Linked DNA regions of Drosophila melanogaster. The gene in region 2 interacts genetically with the main gene of each other region. Each region holds a gene or a part of one and is shown on either strand. Other genes may lie near its edges.

Region 1 (8,226 bases), about 19 Mb from region 2:
AACCGCAGCCACCGCCGCCGCTGAAATCCGCAGACAGCTGCGCTCCGTGGGGAAACCGAATCCGCATCCCAGTTCGACTATCATTTATCAATGGAATGTGAGCGATGTACACGGTAGCAGAGCCGCAGACCACACGACTTCCCGCCCCTCCGCAGTACACACGCCCCCCCTTTTGCAATTAGGGCCAACAAATGCTGACTGTCTTGGAAGTGGCAAGAGTTTTTGGGGGCCAGATATAAAGTATGGCAAAAGTTAAAATTGAACTTGTTTGCGCCACGCTAAGGAATTCACGAAAATAAATGTAAACAAACAGCTCGCACGCAAAATACAATTTAAAAACCAAATTTTCCATGTGGGATGTACCCGAGCACACTCCTCAAAATTACAGTGAATCGACCGAGTGACTGTGTGTTTTTGCCAAATAAATTATAGTTTTTGTGTAACAAACAACCATGGAGTGAGAACCCAACTAATCCAAGATGACTGCATCTTTGTTTTCAGGCTATAGTCAGCACATGCAGCAGGCGAATCTGGGCGACGGTGTGGCCACCGCCCGCCTGCTGTCCCGATCCGACTGGGGTGCCCGGCTGCCCAAGTCCGTGGAGCACTTCCAGGGTCCCGCGCCCTACGTCATCATCCATCACTCGTACATGCCGGCCGTGTGCTACTCCACTCCGGACTGCATGAAGAGCATGCGGGACATGCAGGACTTCCATCAGCTGGAGCGCGGATGGAACGATATTGGTTATAGCTTTGGCATCGGCGGCGATGGCATGATTTACACCGGCAGGGGATTCAATGTCATCGGAGCTCATGCACCCAAGTACAATGACAAGAGCGTGGGCATTGTGCTGATCGGAGATTGGAGAAGTAAGTTAACTCCTAACTTTAAGAGGATAGATTTCTTTTTAATACCGTTTAAAGAGTCATGGAAACTCATTAGGTTGTTAATGAGCCTTCTTCCTTCTCTTCATTTTCTTCTTAAACTCCGTACTAATTACTTTTCCTTATTTTCCCTTTAGCCGAACTGCCGCCCAAGCAGATGCTGGATGCGGCCAAGAACCTGATCGCCTTTGGCGTTTTCAAGGGCTACATTGACCCTGCCTACAAGCTGCTGGGCCACCGACAGGTGCGGGATACCGAGTGTCCTGGCGGCCGCCTGTTCGCCGAGATCTCCAGCTGGCCGCACTTTACCCACATAAACGACACCGAAGGCGTCAGCAGCACCACGGCGCCCGTCGTGCCCCACGTCCATCCACAGGCGGCAGCACCACAAAAGCCGCACCAATCCCCGCCAGCTGCGCCCAAGGTCTAGGCTGGATTGGAGGGCCCTCATCGTCCTCGCAAAGCTTACGAGTTTAAGAGAAGCCACAACGAGCTCGGCTCCACGCACAACGCCAAGGAGTTCATTCAGTATTCATTAGATGTCTCTTCTAACATTTCACAAATAAAGCAATTTCTAGATGATAACACTTAAACATAACCCCCGCTGTTGCTCTTTGTGTCCGCACAATCGACCCACCGCCCCATCGCCCCCCGCCCGCGTTCGCACTTGTCAAATCAAATAGCAATTAATTTGTGTCAAATTCGATTTCGATGGCAGAAGTTTTTGGACGACACGCGGCGCTGAAAATGTCGGCGACCCCGGCGCATCGAAAGGTTTTTCCAGCCATTTGACATTGGCTCGCCATGCGAGGTGATGCGTAGTGGTTTTGGGGTCCAAAAGTACCCGCCAATCCTCACATGCGGACGAAACCATTCTGGGAGCATTTTGGGACTGATGAATTAATAAGACCCCGGGGGAAGTCGCATCATATTGGCATTCCAACCCACAGCGCAATTGCCTTTAAGCCTATTTTTAAAGCCCCCCAATACATATGCGCTGTATTTTGCCAAATGAATAAATATATAATTAATATTGCCGAAATGCTGTTAGATAGACGGACGGACGGACAGCAAAAAAAAAAAAAAGAATAGCAATGGCCCGTTTAAGCGGAAATTTCTCGGCTATTTTGTGTGCGCGGGAATGTTTGCCGTTCAATTTGGCATACTTTTCGGCTGATGCTGACAAGGCAAAACAATTAGTGGCGTGCTTTCGCGCAGATGTGTATAAAAAAACGAAATATTTGAAAACATGCCATTGATAACCTACATTGCACGTTAAATAAATATTTGCGGCAGTGGCATAGACTTTAATCATTTGTTTTCGCTCTGTTGCAGCTATTGGATTGATTTCGGCGGCAGCAAGTAACTCAGTAACTCTTTTTATCGAAAACGATTCGAAAATGCTATCAAAATTAAATTAGTTCAATCGAACACTCCTGTGGAAACTCGATATGCAAATGGCATACATTATGTTACGTTGATAAGGTGATAAGAGGCTTACTCACTGATTCAGCTTATATTACCAGTTCATTAGTATCATCACCAATCAATTAGTCTAGCAATAGTTCAATCGATAAAGGGGTCCCCAGCATACAGATACGCACTGATCAAACGATCGATCGATCGATTGCACCGCTCCACCGAAATGTGGAGCACACGCGAGTGAAACGGGGAAGCAACCACTTGGTAGACAATGTAAATATTGAAAGCGATTCGGAGAGAACGAACGCATTGGGACAGAACTGACCATCGAACAGAAGCACTAATGGGTTTGGACTTTCTAGACGAGTGGTTTCTATCACAGGGTAAGACGCACCAACCACCCATCCACCAAACCACCCACTCCCCCTGAAATTAGCTGCGACGCCCACGCCGCCCGAGAAACTTGCGTAATTGTGGTCCATTGAATGCGAGGCGCCTGATAAGAGGCCCCTAATGATGAGCGGATATCGAGGGGGTTGTATCCTTGGGGCACACGGGCCACATAGCCAATAGCCGGCTATTAATAATTCCATTGAACTGCACCTGCCATAAGGTCAATTGGATCCGCCGCGGATCCGCCCCATATCCCCCCAAACCCCCACAGACCGTGCCCACATATCAAAAAAGATGCTAAAAATATGCCTCTGTCGGTCAACAAAATTTTCATTTCACTTCATTTTGTGCTCACCGAAATACGACGAAGAGATAATGAGCGAAATCCCACGAGAGAGGAATTCGTAGAGCGAGCGGGAAAATTTTCAAATTTTTCACCCATCGCCGTGGCGTTGGAAAATGTATGAATTTAGTTTTTGAAACGCCGTCATAGGCGCTGCTGTTGCCTTCGCTGCTGAAAATTCACTACCAGAGTTCGTGGCTGTGTGTGTGCGGGTGTGTGTGTGCCTGCGGTTGTGGTGATGTGCGGGTGTCTGACCCAACCAGCACACACGTACAATTCAAAGAGATATACAACATATATATATATATATGAATATATATCTGTGCAATATATAGTACAACGACGCGAACGTGCTACGAAAACTGCAGCGAGCGCGAATGAACCAATTAATACACATAATAAAAATCTGAAAAATCCGTGAAATATCCAAAAATATAGCATATAGCCACAGACACAGATTCGTGTACATTTGGGCGGCAATATGCGCAGCTCTTGTCACTGGCCAATCGATCTAATAAATCTCTCTGGAGGGGCGTTATGAATGGCCAGTTCCCAAAATATCCCGTCCGATATATTTGTTTTTTTTTTAAGCACTTTTGTTGACAGGCAATCTTAGGATGAAATATGGCCGGGAATTAGCTGTTAGTTGCCATTCTGAGCACAGATCCGCGAAACTTTTGCGTCAAATTAGCCAGTCTCATTAACAATTTTAATTGAAATTGCATTTTTGTTTCGTCCTCGCCTTAACTATCTTCTGGAATCCTCTGCAATGTTCGAAATACAGTCGTACTTCGATATAACTTCCCTTGCTTCGTGTGCTGTCAAATGGTCAATGGATCTAATTTACGAATCTGATTCAATTGCCAACCATTAATTAGTAATCGATAAGCATCGCTTAAGCTGGGAGTGGAAACAGCTTAGAATGCATTCAAAGCAAATTGGAACTGACAGATAGGCAACCAAATAGACGTCGGAAAAGATACTTTCGTCGGTTATTCTTGCAATGGAAGTTTGACTGTATTTCTAAGTATAATTTTTATTTGCATGTCATGTTTAATTAACGCCTCCATGCAGGAAAGACCGAGAAAGTGTTCGTCGCTCCGGCCAAAAAAAAATTTGCAATCGCCCCAAAACGAGTGGAATGGAAATGAATATGGTGAATGTGGGGGAGGGATGGGCTTCGACGAAGGGGGTTGGATGGTTTTGGACCAGGCCATGGAATGGCAATGGAATGAAACGAATTCGGATTTCATTCTGACCCCCGAGAGCGCCCCTTCTATCACAAATTTTTGGCCTTTTTTTTCCGTCCGTACAACCAGTTTTGTGTACGTTTTTCTGTCTACTTTGTGAAACGAGCCAGTTGAATAAAAACAAAACAAAGTGAATGGAAAAAAAGGCGAAAGACGAAAGCGCCAGAGATATGTATGTTTCCTTTTATTCTTTCGATTTGGTTCCGTTTTGTCTCTCCCAATTGGGTGCTTCTCTTCACCGCCAGTGTCTTTCACTTTTTTCCACTTTTTCCACTCTCAGCGGCGGGCACAAAGAACCTAAAATTAAATATTTTCGCCTTTTACATATCGCAGCCAGTGGCAGAGCAAATCGTTTCTGTTATTGTTTTTGTTGCTCTATTCCCATACACCGACGCTGTTGTTGCTGTTGTTCTTTTTGTTTGTGCTGTTTATTGGAGTGCATATGTACGGACGGACGGACGGACACACACACATACGCAGGCGTTTAGCTGGACATTCACATTCACAGCACAGTGGCGGCCAACATAATAGTGGTCACAGAAAGTTGCAGTTGCAAGCGAGAGGAATGTTTCGCTATCCTTTTGCCCAATTAGAGCAGGAAAAGTTGCAAATTGTTGTTTACAATCTGCCCAGGAATGAGGTCATTAAAAATACATAGAAAAACGGCAGAGGAAAATCGCGAGCCAAAGAAAACTCAGCAAGAGCGAATAGTTTCCATCTTCTGCACTTTACTTTATCAGCATTAAGTCAAGCTATAACTTTTCTCGACCATGAGTAATTGATTTAAAATTCATTTTATATGTAAACATTTTTCGTTCTATCGTAATTGGTTTTCGTATGAAAGAAATATTGGAAATCACCAGCAAATGGCACAATATGTTTGTTGAATAGTTCGGCATATAATACTTTTCTGAAAAGTAAACATTCCCAAAGCATTTTCATTTCATCGTTTTCGTTCAAATTATTTAAATTATTTGACAAGTTGAAAGTTTATAAGAAAACCTTGTTATCTTGACGGATAGGATGATCTCGATTTTATCGATTGCTATAAATATCCTGGAATTTAAACATTTGGCTGCAACTGTAGGCGTTTTTGTGAGAGCCTGCAAAAGCATTCCACTCAGTTGGGATTTGTTGATGCATTTGTCCCGGTCCCCATTGCCGACCGCCATCATCCCCATATCCTCTCTACATTCCTATTTCCATCACATTCGGCATCTGTGAATGTCCCTGTCCATGACTATGACACAAAGGCCTACATTCTGTCTCTTAGTAGAAACAGCGACAGAAACAAGAAAAACAGCCAGCAAAGCTAATGAGCGCATTCAGTTAAAAATAAAATTCAAAATGAAACATACCCAAATATACACGAAATGAAATGAATTGAATCGGATTGAAAGTATCTCAAACAGCTGTTGCTCATCGTCGGCAACGGACCACGAATAAAATTCCCAGCAACAAATTCGCGACGAAAAAAATACATAAAAATCTATTAGAAAAGAAATACGCGTAAAATAGAATTATCAAGGCGAGGCACATACACAAAAAAAATCAAAAAACAAATAGAAAAATAAACGAAAAAAATTACGGAAAATCTGAATGAAAGAACTTTTTCGGACAACTTCCCCCGACGGTGCTAATGTGCAAAGTTTTGTGTTTTCATCAGCAGCAACGCCAAGAGAAGCGGGAAAAACAAGCAAAGAATTCACGGCAAATTATTTAAAAAGAGTGTGCGAACAGACGGGCGACGACATCGGGCCCTGGAGAATTTAACACCAATAAGACTGGAAAAAAATATAAACCACCAGAGGGAATAGTCTAGAATAGTCCGGAGGACCGCAAGCAGTTCGAGCGACTACGAAATGCCGTTTGTGACGCCCCGTGCGGGGACAAGCAGTGCAAGCAGTGCGCCCGGCGGACGCACCACGTTCCGTCCGCCATGGGTGAAGGACGACGGCGGCACCAGTGGCACCAGCAGTACCACAAAGCCCACTGCCACTCCGTGGGCAAAGAAAACAGCGACGACGACGACCGCCTCTCCGGCAACAAAGGAAAATGGAGAAAAGCCGACTGTGGCCAAACCAAAAGCAACTGCTACCACGACTGCAGCCGCGAGGAAGACTTCGACCCCTGAACCGGCTAAGAAGACGATAGAGCCTGTAAAGAAATCTTCACTGGCCACAAGCACAACGGCGGCCAAGAAGACACCAGAACCCGTAAATACCAAGAAAGCACCGGAGCCAATCAAGAAAGTGGCGCCCACCGTGGGGCCCAAGAAGCCAGTAGCCACCACTTCAGCGCTCAAAAAGAAGAAGGAGCCGACACCACCACCCGAATCCTCCTCCGAGGAAGAAGAAAGCGAGGAGGAGGAAGAGACCGAAGAGGAAACCGAGTCTGAGGAGGAGGAAAGCGAAGAGGAAAGCGAGTCCGAAGAGGAGGAGAGCGAGGAAGAGGACACCACCGTGGACGAGAAGGTGCCCGAGCACGTGAAGAAGGCGGCCCAATTGCGACCCACCACCGTGAACAAGAAGCCGGAACCGGAAAGTGAGTTGACCCAACGTTTTACCATGGAGAAACCCAAATTACGCAGCGTGGTGGTCAAGCGGGATAAGTCCTTGAAAAAGATGGCCACCGAAGACGACGACGAGGCCGAGGAGGGCGAAACGGAGGAGGAGCGCGACCGGCGGCGACGTTTCAAATTAGAGAAGCCCAAGCTGCGGCATGTCAAGCGCGAGGAGAAGCCTTTGCCCAGCAAGAGCACCGACGACCTGGCCAAAATCCGGCCCGTGCTCAAGAAGGTACCCAAGATCGATGAGCTCCTCAAGGAGCCGAAAGAGGAGCCAAAGCCCGAGTTCACGACCAAGACCCTACGCAAAGCGTCCATAAAGCGCGAGCCGAGCATCAAGAGCGGTAAGTTGTCCGATCCAAATCGATCCGATCCGGAGCCAGCTCCAGTGATGGAACCTAACCCGATGCCCGACTGGATTAACCCGATTAACCTCTGCGAATGGATCGACTCAACAAGCGCTGTAAATTTTTGCCCCTGCTTCTTTAATGTCTAATTTCTAACCAGAAATGTTTAATTTACGTTGCGGGCGGCTGTGGGGATATGTATTTTATATTTTTACGCTTTCTGCCTCTCCGATTTTCGTCGGCCCTGGCCAAAAGGCAAGGCCACCACTAGGGGAGCAGCAAACAAAACAAATAATGCGTCACCATGGCGGATGAGCGATATGTGCAAAAAAAAATTCGCATTTGGGATGGGAACGTGAGAATATTTTTAAAAGATTAGATGTGTCACAGTTAAGATATTTTTGGTAAATATTTTTTATAAGCTTAACGATTGAACAAACATTTAGGGGTTGTACGGGGCGTATGAGTAATATTTTATTATATAATATTTATTTTATATATATTTATTTGTTTTAAAAAACGTGCTTTTGTAATTACACAAAAGATTGTGATTGCTTTCAATATATATTCCGTTTAATGCATTTTAACAAAAATTACTCATACGCCATGAAAGCCGACGCACTGCAATATTCAGTTATTTCCTGAATGTGAGATGCCTTTTAAAAAGGATAGCTATCGTGCTAATGCTTCCGCCATAAAAAACACAACAATTAAAACCAGTGGGCATTTAAGCAAAAAATATGAAACTAGTTTGGTCAAGATATCCATTTCCATTGTAAGATTTAATTTCCAACGGCCAATACAGCTTCACGCTGCCATCAATGTCTGTAACCTGTCGCTCACAACCATCGCTGTCTGCTCATTTATAAAAACGCAGGAAAATATACGATATTCTAGTGTCTGTATGCAGAAGGCACACACTCGTATGGGAGGAATATGGGAATTTATATACTTGAAATGAATGTGTAAAAAATATTTCATCAAAATGTTTCGCCCAAACAAAAACCACAAAGCGCACAC
Region 2 (7,969 bases):
TGGCAATGGCCAAAGAATTGCTGGGAAATTGCTCATTCGCCGGGTGTGCGGGGCCAGAGATTCTTCGCCATTGCAGATTTATGCATGCCAGTAGTAGTAGTAGAAGTAGTTGGAGTAGTTGGCTACCAGATTAGAGACATTCCATTGCTTCCAGCCAAGCTGCACCTAAAAGTATGCTGTGCGAATCCCTACTGTTTGCAGTTTCCGCTTTAGTTTCCCCTGAATTGCATTCCCAACCCAGCCCATTACCAATCCATATCCAACTATCCGGGTGTTTGTCTTTTTCTACACTTTCCGGCTGCTGCTGCTAACTGCATTTCGCTTCAGTTAAAAGGAAAATCGCAAGTCAAACAAGTCGAGTGCTGGCGAATCTGAACCTTACATCGGTCGATTGCCAGCTGCTGTTCCCCGATTTCCCGCAATTTCCCAACCAGCCCTCCAACAGCTCAATTAATGGACGGCAGGCAATGAAAATTCTCCAGAAGTTGACAGAAATCGTTTTTGGGCCTTCCGCTTCTGCATGTCGAGACTGAAACTTTCTTCATTTCCCAGAATCATCTACACATGAATCTTGGCAAGGCATTTCCCTTGGTTTTATTTTCCCTCTAGGTCAGCGAGAGTCAACGACACTTGGCAAGCGGGCCGCATTCAAAGAAAACTCGTGATATAGGGAGGGAAAAGCTCGGAATGGGAGGAGTACACAAAGAAAAATATATTCAAAATCGGCAATCAATTTAATACAGCAAACTGCAGACTTGAATTTGCGCTGTGCTATTTGAAATTTATATTTTACAGTTCCAGAGAACCTATGACTCTCATATAATCTAATAACATTTTGAGATATTCCTTTTCTCTTTGTGCTAAAAACAGGCAACGTTAGCTTGTTGGATTATAATAAAAAGCACTTCATTTACTTTGTGCAATTTACAACTGTGAAATAAACAGGGAAACGCCAAGGCCAAGGAGCTCTGAAAAGTGGCTGGGAAAAGGCAATGTGGAGAGGTTCCTGTATATATGGCCGGAAAAAAAGGAAGTGCGGTCACGCCTCGGCTGCACATGTCACCCCTTTGTATCTTGTATCTTTCTGTATGTCTTTGCCGTCACCGCTTTGTTTTATTACCAGTTTGCCTCCATTCAGAGCAGTTCATCTCCATCCAGTTTGTTTTTCCTCGCCTCTGCTTGCCCTATAATTTATTTATGCATGTATTTTATTAAAGATTTCCATGGCGTCGTTCCGTTCTCATTCTCGTTGTCGTTATCGCCGCTGTCGTCATAGCAGGCCATCCCCAGTCACTTGTTGACAAAGAAATTACTTATTAATCATATTTGAGCGCTGATTTCTCGTCGCCAAAGGATCACGAGCAGCTGTGATGGGGAGCACATGTGCGTGCATCCACAGAGGGCTCCAAAAATATAGCACTTAAAACATATTCGAATAAAATGCATTAAAAGTGTGTTATAGCAAGTAAGTTAAGTATAACATAAACCGCATCTCAAAATGAAATCATACAGATATATCATTGCATATGACTGATTAATCATTATCCTTATTTACCTTAAAACCCATCCTATTTGCCTAACCCCCGCTGTTCGTGTGTGGGTGTCTGAGTGGCTTTTGATGTGTGTTATCTCATGTTATCCTTTGGCTTCCTCTGCCGTGGCTTGTCTGTCATCAGTGTGGTTTTCCACATCCAAACACACAGATGCAGAACAGGACCGTCGAGAGGGGAATACGAAGGAGTTTGCTGCTCTATTTCGTGGCTCTATTCATTACCCAGCGCCCGCAACTCCGCCCTGCCCCTGATCCCATGCCACATAATTGCATTTGCTCATCAGAGACACATCCATTGGATGTATCTATATTCAGGCATTTGTCCCGCATCATGTCGCTGCGTTTGCCGAGCTGAAAAGACATTTTCGAGAATTAATTTTAGAATATTCCGTCTTGCGTGTGCTTGGCGCTTTGTTTACACAGCGCTGCGGGGAAAACCGGGGGTCCGTTCGAAACACTTGTCTTTCATATATCTTGTGCAGTCCGCGATGCGATACAGGAAGTCCGCACATCGCTGTCAAAACTAAAGCCCCCAAATGCCAGCAATTGAAAGCGTTCGCTAATCAAAAATCTAAATCGGAATCAGCACAAAATCAGAAATCGGACAGAAGGCAGAAGGTGAAATCACTTGAGATGGGCATCTTCCGACAGATGCCCCTGCCACAAGGCACCCTGTACAGGCCCCGCTGGCTGTGATGCACTGCCTCCACTCGCACATCGAACGCTGGCCACGGCAAAGGAAAAAGGGAAAAAAACGAACGGAAAATAAAGGAAAAAAAAAGAAAAGCGCATGAAAAAGGAAAAGACGGCGTCAAATGCCGCCCGGCCAAATGGCCAGCCGGATCAGCCCAATGTATTCCACCCGATTCAGAGTTGTTTGCCCACAGAGGGTATCGATGAGATGTCTGGGCTTATTGGAAAAAAAATGTTGGAAAAAGGGAAATGCAACACGGGCTTATGGGGATAGTAAGTCCCTCTGATAGAGTGGACAAATTGGTTTGTAAATTAATTTTAAAATCTATCTAAATTCAAGTTTATAAGATATTTTTACTTCTTGAATAAACATTCTATAATTCTTATTGTAAAACTCTATTCTTACTATCAAAATCTCTTTTTTAGGTATTCCAAAGTCGGAAGATATCACTATCTTCATCCTTGGCTGCCTCTTTTTTCTGTCTATTGTTAAATCCACCCAAAATAGCTCCACGCACATTGACGAGAAGAGTGCGTGGGTCTTTGACGGGGAGTATGGAGAGTAGGGGGTATGCGGAGTAAGGGGAGTACAGACCATATGAGATGGCGAATGAGGAGTGTTGGCACTTCACGGCGGAGTTTCACATTCTGACGGGCCTCAGACGTCCGGCAGCCGCACTAATTGCATTCGCCTGGTCAAACGAAGAAATTGCAACAGGCGGACAATTAGCGAGCGAACTCATTCGCATTCAAATTTCACATTTGCTCAAAGAAAGAACAGAAATACTGCACTCAGAAAAATGGTTAACTCACTTCTTACTTCATTGCAGATATTTTGATATTTTATAGAACTCTGGAGTTCAATTTCGGAAGGATTAGGATACATGTGGGATCACAGCCTTGTACTTTTACTTTTTAACATACGAAATATTGTCAGATAGTTTCCTCTTTTTACCAAATAAAGCTTTCTAAATGTAAATCCAATTTGGTAGGATTTTCTCTCAGTGTAGAGGCACACAGTGTAGAAAAGATCGGAACGAAGGCAACAAAAAACTTTTGAAACGCGACGAAGATCAACGTTCAAAATTGAGCAGACGTCAGCAGCGGCAGCAGATCGGCAGAGAACTGAGAGTGAGAGTGGAGGAGAGAGTGTGGAGAATTGCTGGCGCTCTCCCGAGCGCTGGGGGTCTCGGGCCGTCCCGCTCGCACCTGCGGCTAACACATTGGGGGCCTCTGCCCCACTAGACCCTCCGGAACTCAGACCGTCTCGCTCTGCTCTCCGGCGTCGGTTCCGGTGGCAGACGGCAGAAGATTCTAACTAGAAGAATTAGAAGAAGCTAGGACGGAGGCAGCAAGTAGAAGACCCGTGATCGTGTAATTCGCCTCGTGTGCGTTCCGTTGTTCCGTAATTATTCCGGATTTGTTTTCGAAACAGGCTGAAGTGATGTGATGGGATTTCGATAGCTCCATCTTTCAACTTGTTTCGCTTTATCCGCCTTTTGTCACCACGGCTCTACGTTATTCCGTTGTCCCATTGTTCCGTTCTTCCGTAGTCCCATTGTTCCGTAATTCTCCGTTCTCCGTTGTTGTCGCGCCTTTCGTGGCCGCTGGTCGACGTTACGTTTTTACAGTTCGATAATCGAGCACTTCCCGAGAGGATCGAAGGCTCCAGGCATCTGCGTAAACCACGAAGGATCTACAGTACCTCTAAATATACCGCCCTTAGGTCGAAAACAAGTTACTAAAAAACCAGCGCGCCGTGAAATTCCTCTTGTTTATATAATAACCAGCGGCTGCCAAAAGCCCAGCGGAATATACAAAAAATATTCATTTTTCTAGCTCTGGTCGTTTGTATTTTTCAGGCTAAAAGAAAGAAAATAAGAAAGAAGAAAACCCAAGCAATTCTGCGTGTTATGTGTTATCGTTGTGATCAGTGATCCAGTGATCAAGTGAAAGTGAACACAAGAACGTGAGAGAAAGCCAAGTGAATCAGCTCGACTCCAATCGAAAAGGATATAAATCAGAGACAATGTCGGACATTGAGGATGTTTTCGGTGGCTCCGCCGAGGAGACCAAGCCCGAACCCGATGCCCAGAGCAAAACCAGCGTGGTCACCGAGCACACCGAGGAGGTGATTCCCGGCGAGACCGAGAAAATGGTAACGGAGACCATCGATGAGGATGGCGATGTCGTGGAGGAAACCACCGAAGTTACCCGCAAAACGGTGAAGCGCACCATGAAGATCACTGAGGTGAGTGAACTCTGACCCATGGATCCATCTAATAGCCGCCATTATCCATTAACTAACTTATTGTGCGTGTGCTGAGTACAAACATAATTCGAATAGCCATGAAAATCAATATGTATTCTGAATTTGAAAACCGTTCAAGAAGCTATAAAAATTCGGGAACTTGGGAAATTCTTAATGGAAACTATTTCCAAAAGCTTTAATGTTAAGTGCATATTCGCAATCAACTTAAAGAACAGTTCGTTAAAATTTATTAAGCATGGAAATTTTTATAAAAATATTTTCGATTCAAGTATTGTTTACCAAGCTTTTGGTGGGGGGATATATGCCGCAAAACAACATCTTGTTTTTGCATTGAATTTATATAAAAACATCGCATATTTTTGCGAAAGTAAATGACATTCCATTTTACATATTTCCGAAAATATTCTTACGGAACTACAAGTTTAAACCAAAGAATCCGCCCAAAACTGAATGATTTCCTCAATAGTTGGCCACCCCCGATCGTTTGGCTTATGAAAGACTATAAATCATTATTCTCATATTCTGAAGGGATCTTCTGCCGTACTGGTCTCCTCGCTTGTGAAATTGGCCAAAACATGGCGAACTCTGGCTATACATTATTTATACCAAGTGCCATTTCTCTATGTGCGTCTTAGCGAATTGTTTATACGGTCCCACGAATATTATAAATCTTCCCATACATTATACATCACACACACCGCGGCACAGATATAGACGGACATATAGGCGATTATATACACATATACATATGTATGTATATGTTCGGCCACACTTTCTATAGGCGACGTTGCCGGGGGAAAGCCAACAAAAAATACAAATTTTGCAGCTGTTTGATTTCGGCGCAAATTATCACAAAAGATTTCAAATGGCATGGCGTATAAAAAAAGCTGGGAATTAAATTATTATTAAGCAGAAATCACTTAAATACTCGATGCCGAGCTATGCCAAAAAATCCCCACACTCGAAGAGAAATGGCAAAAAAATTAAATGCAATAAATTCTGTGCCGCCAACAAATGCAGAGGCAAAAAAACAAGTATCAGACCAAAAAAAAAAAAAAACAAAAAAAACATCGAGAAGAAGGCGAAACAAAAAATAAATATTGAGGTTTCCGTGTCTTGCGGTCTGGCGCGCACTGGGCGAAAGTTGGGTGGTGCCGCATGGGGCGGGTGGTGCAAGTGGTGGGGCAGCAATTAATTGCCACAAATCGTTGCACAAAATTACAAATTGCATTTCCGGCTTGGCGCGGCGGCCACGCACTTCCACCCGTATTCCCCACTACCGCTACCCCACCCCAAACCCCGCAGAAAGTCTTCGATTTTCCCGCCGCTGTTTTACGACTGTCTGGCCCCCCTCGCCCCTCGCCGGGCGAAAAGCAAAACACCGCCCGTTTTTCTTTCGTCGAGTTTTATGGCAGCCAAATTAAATTTGCATTGCAATTTACTTCTTTTTGGGTCGGCCTCTCGGCCTTTTCTCGTTTTTCCGTTTTGCCGTTTTTATGGGCCCGAAATGGAAATGAAAACGCATGAGCTCAGCCAGCCGGAGTCCTGCGAATGGGGCAGGGATAAGGATGTGCTGCTGCCAGGGCATATGTTGCCATATACACAAAACAGGATCGTATGTGCCTCGCTCCGAGCAGCTTGCCGAACTAATTGCGCTGCCAAAGTCCGGTTTCCTTGCCGAAGCTCATGAACTGCTGAACTGCTGAACTGCCCAAGCCAGCTTTCCCCGCTCACTTTCTCCCGGCGGCATTTCCTGGGCGAAAGCGGCTAATGAGTCACGTACCGTTTTTGTCATTTTTATGCGCTTAACAGGTCAAAGTTCCAGCCGCAGGGATACGTGACCAAAGTCGAGTTTGAGTTGAAAATGCAAAATTAGTTAAATAAAGTCGGAGATACGCCGGGCACTTTCTCCACTCCCCATCCCCACTGCCTTTCGTTATCCTTAATTCGAGGCGAAGCGGAAAACTGTCATAAATTTCACAGTTGATTTCACCGTTGTTTCCTGATTTGATTAGCTCATTAAACGACGGTAATTTGTGCGGTGCGGGGTATGGTTCAAGCCTCTGTGTATTTGCTTATAAACTAAACAATAAATATTAAAGAGAATGACTAAATTGAATAAAATATTCATAGAATATTCATGATTGATTAGTTTCAACAAAATCGAACTCTCAATCTATTGTCACTGAAAATTCAACATCAAATACGCCCAATTTGCGATTATTAAATTATCTGATTATGCGCCATTTAATGCAAACATTATGGAAATGCACCACTATTTAATAAACACCCAAACGAGCGACTTTGCGGTCGGAAAGTTCGGCCATATTATTCCTGCCGACTGGAATGTAGTTAAGCAAATCTTTGCTCAGCTCCGCCGTTCCAATCAAATGGGGCATGCTAATTTGTGCAACAAGCCGTAAACTCACATAACCGGACACCACATCCATATTACACATGAGCCCCATGCGGAGATTGCTGGGATAATGGAATTTCCTGTGGCCTCCAACGTCCATTGTCCTGCTGTCCCGTCCAGTATTCTCTTGATTAGACATCATAATATTGAACGGAGATTAATTGGAATCCGTGAGGGGCCAGCTCAGCTCCGAACGGATTTATTGTAGTTGGTGATGTTTTCGGGGAAAACCATTCAGAGTTTTCCGCCCGATTAGCCTGGCCACGGATATTCCGCTGGTTGTCGTGGACCACAGCGATTTTCCCGATGATTTTATTGCGCTAGCTGGCATATTAAATTGTTTTGAATTTTGCCAGCGAACTCCGCAAATGCGGCCAACCACAGCGCTAATCAGCGCAGGGACAGCTGTCTCTGCACCACCCACTATCCCGTCGCCTGGACCACCGACCGCACCGCCCACCGCACCACCAGCCACTCCCACAGATCCCTGCGCCCTTCACCCCCTTTTCATTGACAGCTGTCAACGCGGTGGCGCCTCTTGAAGTCCAAACATATATTTCACTGGCAGCCACTGAAACGTGTGTTGTGTGTGTGTGACTACACTGAGATATTTTTTGATTTTAGGGTTTAAAACTTGTATTATTCGTTACTAATATATATACCATATACCGGATAGGTTTTTTACCCGAGTTGTTTAGTTTGAAAAGATCGAGAGTTATGGATGTTACCACAAATAGTGGTACTAAAAAAGGGCCACTCCCCAACGATTTCTCGCAGTGCATGGCAAAGTGTGTATTGGTTTGGTTGAAAGGCGTGACACAACAAGACGACATTTCAATGTCAGGCGTCTCTTGGCCTTTGACGCTCGCTTAGCTTCCATTCACTTGTTGCAGTTCCCAAGGAGATTTTCCCAGGTCCCACCTCCACTCCCTCGGAAAAGAGAGGAGAAGCCCACACCCACCTCCAAATTTCGAGTACATTTGGTCAGTTATTTATGCGCTTCGCTTTCATTTCGGTTCGCTTCGCCTCGTTCGCG
Region 3 (8,181 bases), on a different chromosome or scaffold from region 2:
AGCAAAGGAGCCAAAAAGTCAAAAGCAAAGGCAAATGCCGAACGAAAACGAAAACGAATTCGAATACGAATACGCAAAAACAAAAACAAAAGCCGGCGCCGGCTTCAGAAAGAAAAGTCCTAAATTAGCTTCGATAATTGATGCCAGTTTCTATTTATTAAACAAATCACACCTGCGAGAATTGGCACTTCAAGGAACAGGACCTTTCCCCACGATTGCACTGATATCCCATCTCGACGGATAGATGGCCATCCATCATTTCTGAAGGTCGTCCAGACATTGGAACTGCAACTGACCTCCATGGTAATGACGAATGGGATGAATGCGTTTCATTAGCCCCACTTGTTCGACACCCCGCGTTTCGACTCTCGATCCCCGATCGGTGATCACTGATCACTGGATCTACCATTTCTCCGCGCTATGTAGAAAGCAAAAGCGGAGTTAACCGAAAATCAAAAACCGAAAGCAAAGCCCAAGTATCTTGACCCTCATTAATTCAAGTAAGCCAGCAAGGCATTCGCAAAAAAGGTGAAAAACATAAGAAAAACTTGAAATTTACAGTTTCAGTTTCAGTTTCAGTTTCGATTTCAGTCTCATGTGGCGGCGGGTTTTCAGTTTGGGGATGGGAACTGCAATTAACATACGAAATTTATTTAAATTCAATCTTCATTTCGGACGCGAGTCACCGTCACCATCACCGTCTCCGTCTCCAGCTTCACCTGCAACTCCTCTTGGCTTCTTGGTGCTCGGTGAATGTTTTCACTTTCGTTCGGCATCCCAAAAATCCGAGTCTGTGTAGTCTGTGTAGTATGGAGTCTGAAGTCTGCAGTCTGGGCATCCGCCGGCAACCTGTTTTGGCCTGACTGACTGCCCGCTTACCATGATTATTGTGATTATTGGCTGGCGGTCGAGGGGAAAACTCTGTGGCGCTCGTATCTCGAATCTGAGCGAAACCCCAAAACACACAAATTGAATAGGAATACGAAAACGAAAGTGAAAATGTTTATCGAAAAGGGAAACGGGGAAAAACAAAGCAGAAGATCAGCAAAGCATAGATCGTGCGCTGCCCCATCCCGCATTTCCTAGCACTCTGTCGTCCAGTCAGTCCAGTCAGTTCAATGCCGTAAATTAAGCTGGCAATTTCTTGCTTTGTTTGTCGGTGAAATCTGCCTAACAAAGAAAACTCCTGCCCCTGCCGTGAGTGCGTGGAAAGCGGTTGGACCGTGTTGAGGATGGTTGGGATTGCCACCTCCATTGCCGAGTGGGGCAGCGGGTCAGGGAAAACGAGCTTGACCTTAGGCCCCTGCCGAACGAAACCAATCGCGATTCCAAACTAACTGAACCTCACCTTGTTTTTTCGCGGCGGCTTCTTGACTTCAACTTGCACGGCTGTTTGCATCTTCCTGCCCCAGAACTGGGTTCTCAACTGGGCAAAGTTTTTGGCCGAGATCCGTATCTTATCCAACTCGGTCCAAAATATAGCTATATTTGCCTTGCTTTGCATGTTTACTTGCTTTGACACTGACAATGATACGCCATCCAAGATGCGGAGATACTCAGCGAAAGAGTGGAAGAGCAAGGTGGCGGGGAATCTTATCACAGCTGATGTGATAATTACCCAGAGCAAATACTGAGATACATGGTATTGTACTATATATATGGAACTCCTCGTTTAAGGTGTATTTATCGTTTAGATTTCTTGTTCACATATAATTTAAAAAGAATGTTCATCGATCGCTTTCAGCTCATTTTATATAAACGAGAACCTAATATGTCCCGATATGGTTACCTTTAATTGCTAATTGCTTGGCTTATGTGCCGGACATCCCATCCACATCCGATCCACGAACAAATGCGTTATCAGCTGTCAGATGGGCACTTTCACTCGGAAAAAAAAAGGCGAAAACAAAGGAATTATGCTTTTCCAGTTGATTAGTCGGGTCAGCGGCGGCTAATTCATGTCCGCATAAATTTCAATTCAAATCTCTGACAAACTCTGGAAAGTTTCGGAGCGTAGGTGGCCCGCAAATGGATCGCATTACATGCAGATACTTTGGTATCTATTGCCATTAGGAATGATGAAGTAAGTCAAACAAGACGGCCAGCTGGAGTGGAGTAGAGTGAATTGCATTGGATTGGATTGGATTGGATTGGAGAGCAGCGGTCTCCGAATCCGAATCCAAGTCCAAGTGGATTAAATCGAGCTGGAGTGGGGACTTCACATGCAAATCAGGCTGAGACAGGAAATTATTACACACTTTTCCCAGTCTAGTTTTGGTCATGTGCTGGTGGTGCCTGGTTTCGGTTGCTTTCGCAGCGATTCATTAGCATTGCACGGCTTCCGTATATGGGCTCCGAAAATGTATAAAGTGTTCGTGTGCGGCCAGGCCTATGCCCAATTGCTATAGGGTTATATGGCTATATGGGTCAGAGCTTCCCGTGTCTAGGTAGTGATATCAATCCGTTATCGGGAATCAACTTTCTGTGATGCGGTCACCACAATCGAGGAGACGGGTGGCCGGAGACCTTGGCGGTCTGTCTGGATTTGTCTAGGGTTCGGATTACGGACTATGCCATATTATTATTTCATACACTATAAATACACTATAATGCAATAGATATATTTTTTTTTTTGTAGCAGACTTTGGCATAGCCCAAGAAATACTAGCAGGCCTTGCAGCCTCAAGCTGAAAGTGCCACATATAAATAGCAGGTAATTGGAGGTGAGCAAGTGTGAAGCCACCGGTTGAGATAATTTAACTATCCATCCAATGACTTGGCCCACATTCCAGCTCCAGTGCTCGTGAGAATCGAGTCCGTCTGCTGAATGCCCCCGTATCGCCTCGAACTACTCCGTGGGCTAGGCCAATGTCAGTCTGGCCTAGCTAGCCTAGAGCCTAGAATCCGCCAGCGGCTTGCGTCATAAATAAGGCGGCCACAGGCCAGACGAACCAGTTCGCGAGCGGGTTTGGCGGCAGTTGCAGTTGCAGATGCAGAAGCAAACAGTTGGCCGAGATGCAGATGCTGATGCAGATGCAGATTATGCAACCTGCGCATTTCGTGGAGAAAGCTCAATGGAATTCTAGCGCAGATTGCGGTAGTTGACGTCACAACGGAACTTGCCGTTAATTATTGGTCATTCGTTGGGGATAATCCCTCCAATCGCGAATTATGATAGCCCCCATTCCCTGCCCCTTCCCGTTGCCCAACTCCCTCTAGGCGTCAGTGTGTCGCCAGGAAGTAAACTCAGCGCAGCCCGAAGTGGAGCTACAAGTCATTGAAAACCCACACAAGTAGAGCGTAGGACAGACAAGTGGTATTATGACATTTCCCAACCAGCATAGAGGTGTTGTGTCAGTTGAGTTGGTGTAAAATATGCGATAAATGCCATTGCTATGCTGTGCAGTATTTGTTCTTTTTCCTTTCCAAAGCCATACATACATTTCGATGGACTTCAGTCAGCTGGGTTGCTATAAAGCTATTGCAGTTGCAGTCTTCTAATTTCATGCCGAATCCAAGCCAGGAGCTGCTTCATTCATCGCAACCAATAAGTGCTGGTCGAGAGTGCGAGAATGGGATAGCATGGGATGGGTCTTGAGAGGATCCAGCAGAGGCTCGACCGTTCAGATTGCCCAACTCTTACCCCCCATCGGCATTTCTACACTCGCACACAAGAAGGCAACCGAAAATTATTACTAATTAATTATTGTTGCACAAACAGCAGACGCCTGGCTGCAGTGCACCTCGAGTACTTTCGGTACCTCCAATACCGATCCCATCCCGCCATATAATTTGCCGAATTGGACGTCGGCCACTTGTTTGTTTTTCGTTTGATTTTTGTTTTATGTTTGTTATGCGGCGCGCGGCATTTCGTCAGCTCATTCAATTGAAGCTCATTCAGCCGCACTTAAATCAGGGGCGAAGTGAGCGGGGGAATTGGTGGATTGCGGGATGGCGGCCAATGGGCACTTAATTTCGCTGGAGCGCATTTCACTTTCATTTCCACACAATCAAAATACGTCGAGTACCCGGGCATCGGACATCGGGCATCCGAGCATCGGGGATCGGGGATCGGCGATCGGAGAAGGGGGACTGGGAAAAGTGAGGCGCAAAAATTTCAATTTCATTTTATTTATGAGCGTCTAGGCGACACTTTTGAATGCAAATGACGTTAAATTGTTGGTCAAGTGAGAGCGGACTCTCGCTGCCTATTCCCCCTTTTCCCTGCCCCTCATCTACTTCGCCCCCCCCCCTCGATACGAGGCTCACAGACAGCAGGTGGAAAACCTTAGAGGTGCAGCAGGGAACTGCGTGACGAAACCAAAGCAGTTAAGAGGGACTTACCCTTCAGCCAATAACTTTTCTTCGAAATTGCAAAAGGGGTTGCGAAGTAAAAGCACAGAAGCTAGACAGACTTCCTAACCAAACAAAATAGTTTATGAATATAACAATAGATGTATTAAATGTACAAAGTATTCGAGGCGACAGTGTAGCAAATAGTTTTCACACCATTTTACTGGGTTGCACAAAAAGCGATTCAATTTAACGAAACAACCGAACCGAATTCGTGTAAAGGTCCACTCTTTGGCAGGTTTAAGTGGATCGACCCAGAGACCCACTAACGCCCCCAAAAGCCCAGAGAATCCCTTGGCACTCACCGTGTTGATCTTATCCATGAGGACACTCATTTGATTCATGCTCGACATAATGATACTGCTCTGTAGCACTGGAATTCGAATTCAAAAACTATAACTATAGCGTTGCAAGTCTCTTCTGCCGCGGACTGGGATGCAGCACCAATTCGCACATCACGCACTGCTCATTGCCAATTCACTTGATGCAAAAAAAAATTAATCCGAAGAAAAAAAAAATTTTAAATTGACATACAAAGTGTATTCAAACAGTGTTCGTTCGCTTTGCGAAAAGCACACGCGCGCGCGTATTTCCAATTTCCGATTTAATCAGTTCGACTTCTATATAGCCTATAGCCTTAGGTTTTGCTTTCCATAGCCGGTCTCTGTCTGCCGGATGACTTGACCCGCTCGCGTGCGTTCTTATCGACGGCTGGCAGCGCATTGAACGCTCGCCGCTCAAGACGTGCCCACGGCAGCGGCGACTTGGCCAAAAGCAACACGACGAGCACGAGCACGTCGCCGCGGCAAGCCGAAGAAGTTGGCCAAGACAGAGTGGCAGCGACAGGTGCCAGCAGAGAGCCCGAGAGCCGGAGCGGGCTCCAACGCGAACGCGAAACCGGTCGACGGCAGAAAGCGGGCTCTGAGCCTATTCTGTGCCTAATGCCGCAGACCCCACTGTGTCCCAGTCTCAGTCGCACTCCCGCCCGCACACCGCTCGCCTTGGCTCGCGGATTGGGGCCGCCTTGGTGGATAGTGGGTGGTGGAAGGTGCTGCATTTCCATGTGCGTGCGGGGTGCATTCCTGGGGTATTTATGAAATCACAAGGGCTGAGACACTTGAAGAGATATCGAGGTAATTATGGGTGTGAAACGAAGAGCTTACTGCTACGAGCATTTAGAAGACCAAGCGGAGCCTAAGGTCCACGATACTGGAATACCACCTGCGATTCATTCCCAAATGCAATCCAACCAGTGATAGTTTAACTTCGAAAGGAGACAACTAGCCGACCAATGTAAAGGAGTTGGAAGCATGAAACCAAGCCAAGAAACAATTGGACAGCCGAACTGTCTATCGAACAACTTAATTAGCTCTGGCAAATCAGCCGCACACAACAGACAATTGTTAGTCCGCTCGATAAGTTGTTCGGCAACATGCACATAGCCATGTTCACCGGTAACTTTGGCAATTGTGGGCTCAAAGCCGCCAGAGTCGAAGTCAAAGTCAAAAACAATTTAAGGTCGTCACAAGTAAAGTTTGTTATTCCCTCTCTTTTGTTTCGATTTTGCAAGTGTCATGCAAAAAATAAAATATCATGGCAATACCGCCGTGTAAAAACACCGCCTCTGCCCCTCTATCTCCACTTCCCGATTTTCAGCAACGATTCTCATCATCTCTTTTTTTTATGTAACGGTCCTTATTAGAGCCAATGTTGTTGTCTTATACCGACGATCATTGGCCAAATACCGAATGCTGACGGTCATTCAATTTGGAGTCGACGGCATGAGGTGGCCATCCGTTCTTTAGCTGTTTTGGCTGGATATTCGCGCCTTTTTTTTTTAGCTTTTTGATACCCTTAACAGTTGAAGAGGCAAATGCTATTATTATTTTAAAACCAATTTGATGGTGTAACCATCTTCTACCACGTCTAAATTTTGATCGTTGAAAATAGAAGAGCGACTATTCAATGATGTATCATACTTATATTTATGGGCTGTAAAGCGCACTCATTTTCCGATTTTCTAGACCTATCGAACATTTACCAACTGCCTCCTCGGCAGCGAACCGTCTTCAATGACTTCTTACTCACCTGTTGTTGCTAATTGGCTTCGTTGTTGGGATTAGTCTTTGGCTGCAAGTGGAAAAGAGGAGAACGGCGAGAAGCAAATTAGTAGGAATCCGTCATAGTCATAGGTAGTCGGAGTGGTAGTCTCCCTATTGATTAATGCAATCCTCACAGCCCGAGCCAAATCGAATCGACTCTCCCATTTCCCATCTCCCATTTGCTACTCGAAGGGCTTTTTATGGGTGTTGTGCCAACTCATCCGAAAGCCACCACGCTTCGATCGCAATTACTTGGCCATTATGTGATGCAGCCAGACATAATTTCCCATTAGCAGCTTTTTGTCGATGGGCCAAGAAAACGTGAGCATGAGGCAGTTCGTAATCACTCAAAGAACCCACTTCATTTCCCTGGCTAATCTGATTTGGTTCGCCCCTATCTCCAGGCACAACCTCTGCCCAGCCCCTTTTCCATTTCCAGCTAATCGCAGATGCTCCTACTTCATCAAGTCTGCCTCCGCCCGAAATCTTGTAAAATCATATCCATATCATTTTTGAGCTTGAGCTGACGAAATCCTAAAGTACAGAGAAGGTGTTTAAAAACATTGGTTGAAAGTGAAATTTTGCCCACGGCCGCGTCGTCTTCAATTTGTTTATTTTCGGCTGTTTAAATGAGTTTTCAATTTCACTAGAAAGCATGAAAGTACGGCCTTTTAATATTCTTGCCGGGCAGAAATCACAGCGAAATGGAGAAATACACAAACAATTTATCCGCCTGTTGGCACCTGACATGAATGAGTCAAACACAAGTGTTTGCTCGCCCCGTCCTTTTCCTTCGGACTCTCTCTCTCTCTCTTGCGCACGCCCACTAAATCACAAGTGTGAGTGACGAGTGGAAAGGGTGGAAAGGGTAGGGTTAGGGGTGCAGGTGAAGGGCGCGATAACTGATGTGATGCGGCTAATCTGCTTGCCAGTTTCCTGAGCCTTCTAGGGGAAAATCAAAAGACTTAAGCAACGAACTTGGGGAACAACGCTAAGGAAACAACAAAGCTGAGTAAAATAAATCTCTCGATGAAAGTGTATTATAATAATCACTGACAGCTGCCTCTCCCAGCGGCGGATCACCCGCATCTGTGCCACTCGCTCGCACATCCGTCAATTGGCCCGACTCTTTCCGGCTTACGGATTTCTGATTACGGCTCAGCGGCCCGCGGCTTCTTTGGCCAAAACGGGCGAGGAGTTGGACGAGCGACTCTGACAAATTGATATGCACATTCGGCGACATTAGCATATGTCGCGTATGCCTTAATTAACTATTCCGCTCAGCTAATATCGGTTTCACCCACCCCACAAGGGGCGTTTGGGGCCCTGCTGGTAAATTGTGGACTTGTGGATGACTTGACGCACGAGTATTTCAAATTTTTAAGAAAGTCTCGCCAGCACTTCCCATATGAAAGTTTTGCTCAGCGGCGCGGGTTGAATGACTCAGAAATCAAAATAAAAACTAAAGATAACTCTATAGTCGAGTGTCGCGACTATTAGATACCCGTTAATCAGATAGTTCATCGTAAAAGCAATAAAGCAGTTGCATGCAGAAACTCAATGCTTTAACATTGCAATGAACTCAGTCTTAACAGTCCGAATTTGAGTTTTCAGTGAATCTAGCATACCCTTTTACTGTGTTACGAGTGACGGGTATAATTAAATTTGCGTTTTCTTGTTTTCATCGTTTGCCAATAAACATTTTAGGGGGCGCAACCTAAGTGAA

Evidence for each region. Genes that interact genetically often act in the same process or in processes that back each other up.
Region 1: of tmod (region 2) and sals, changing one enhances a phenotype caused by changing the other (phenotypic enhancement), as found in Drosophila melanogaster (one study listed by BioGRID).
Region 3: of tmod (region 2) and DAAM, changing one suppresses a phenotype caused by changing the other (phenotypic suppression), as found in Drosophila melanogaster (one study listed by BioGRID).

What each region holds. Positions count from the first base shown.
Region 1 is NT_033777.3:11,446,096-11,454,321, reverse strand, and holds the start of sals (sarcomere length short), read left to right. Parts: upstream 1-3,171; 5' UTR 3,172-3,233; exon of another isoform or gene 3,234-3,255; intron 3,256-5,959; 5' UTR 5,960-6,155; coding exon 6,156-7,203; intron 7,204-8,226. Other genes in the region: PGRP-LB (peptidoglycan recognition protein LB), read left to right, coding at 502-870, 1,023-1,315.
Region 2 is NT_033777.3:30,529,012-30,536,980, forward strand, and holds the start of tmod (tropomodulin), read left to right. Parts: upstream 1-3,825; 5' UTR 3,826-3,971; exon of another isoform or gene 3,972-4,084; 5' UTR 4,085-4,274; coding exon 4,275-4,496; intron 4,497-7,969.
Region 3 is NC_004354.4:1,303,418-1,311,598, forward strand, and holds the start of DAAM (dishevelled associated activator of morphogenesis), read right to left. Parts: upstream 5,056-8,181; 5' UTR 4,707-5,055; coding exon 4,659-4,706; intron 1,429-4,658; exon of another isoform or gene 1,349-1,428; intron 944-1,348; exon of another isoform or gene 687-943; intron 1-686.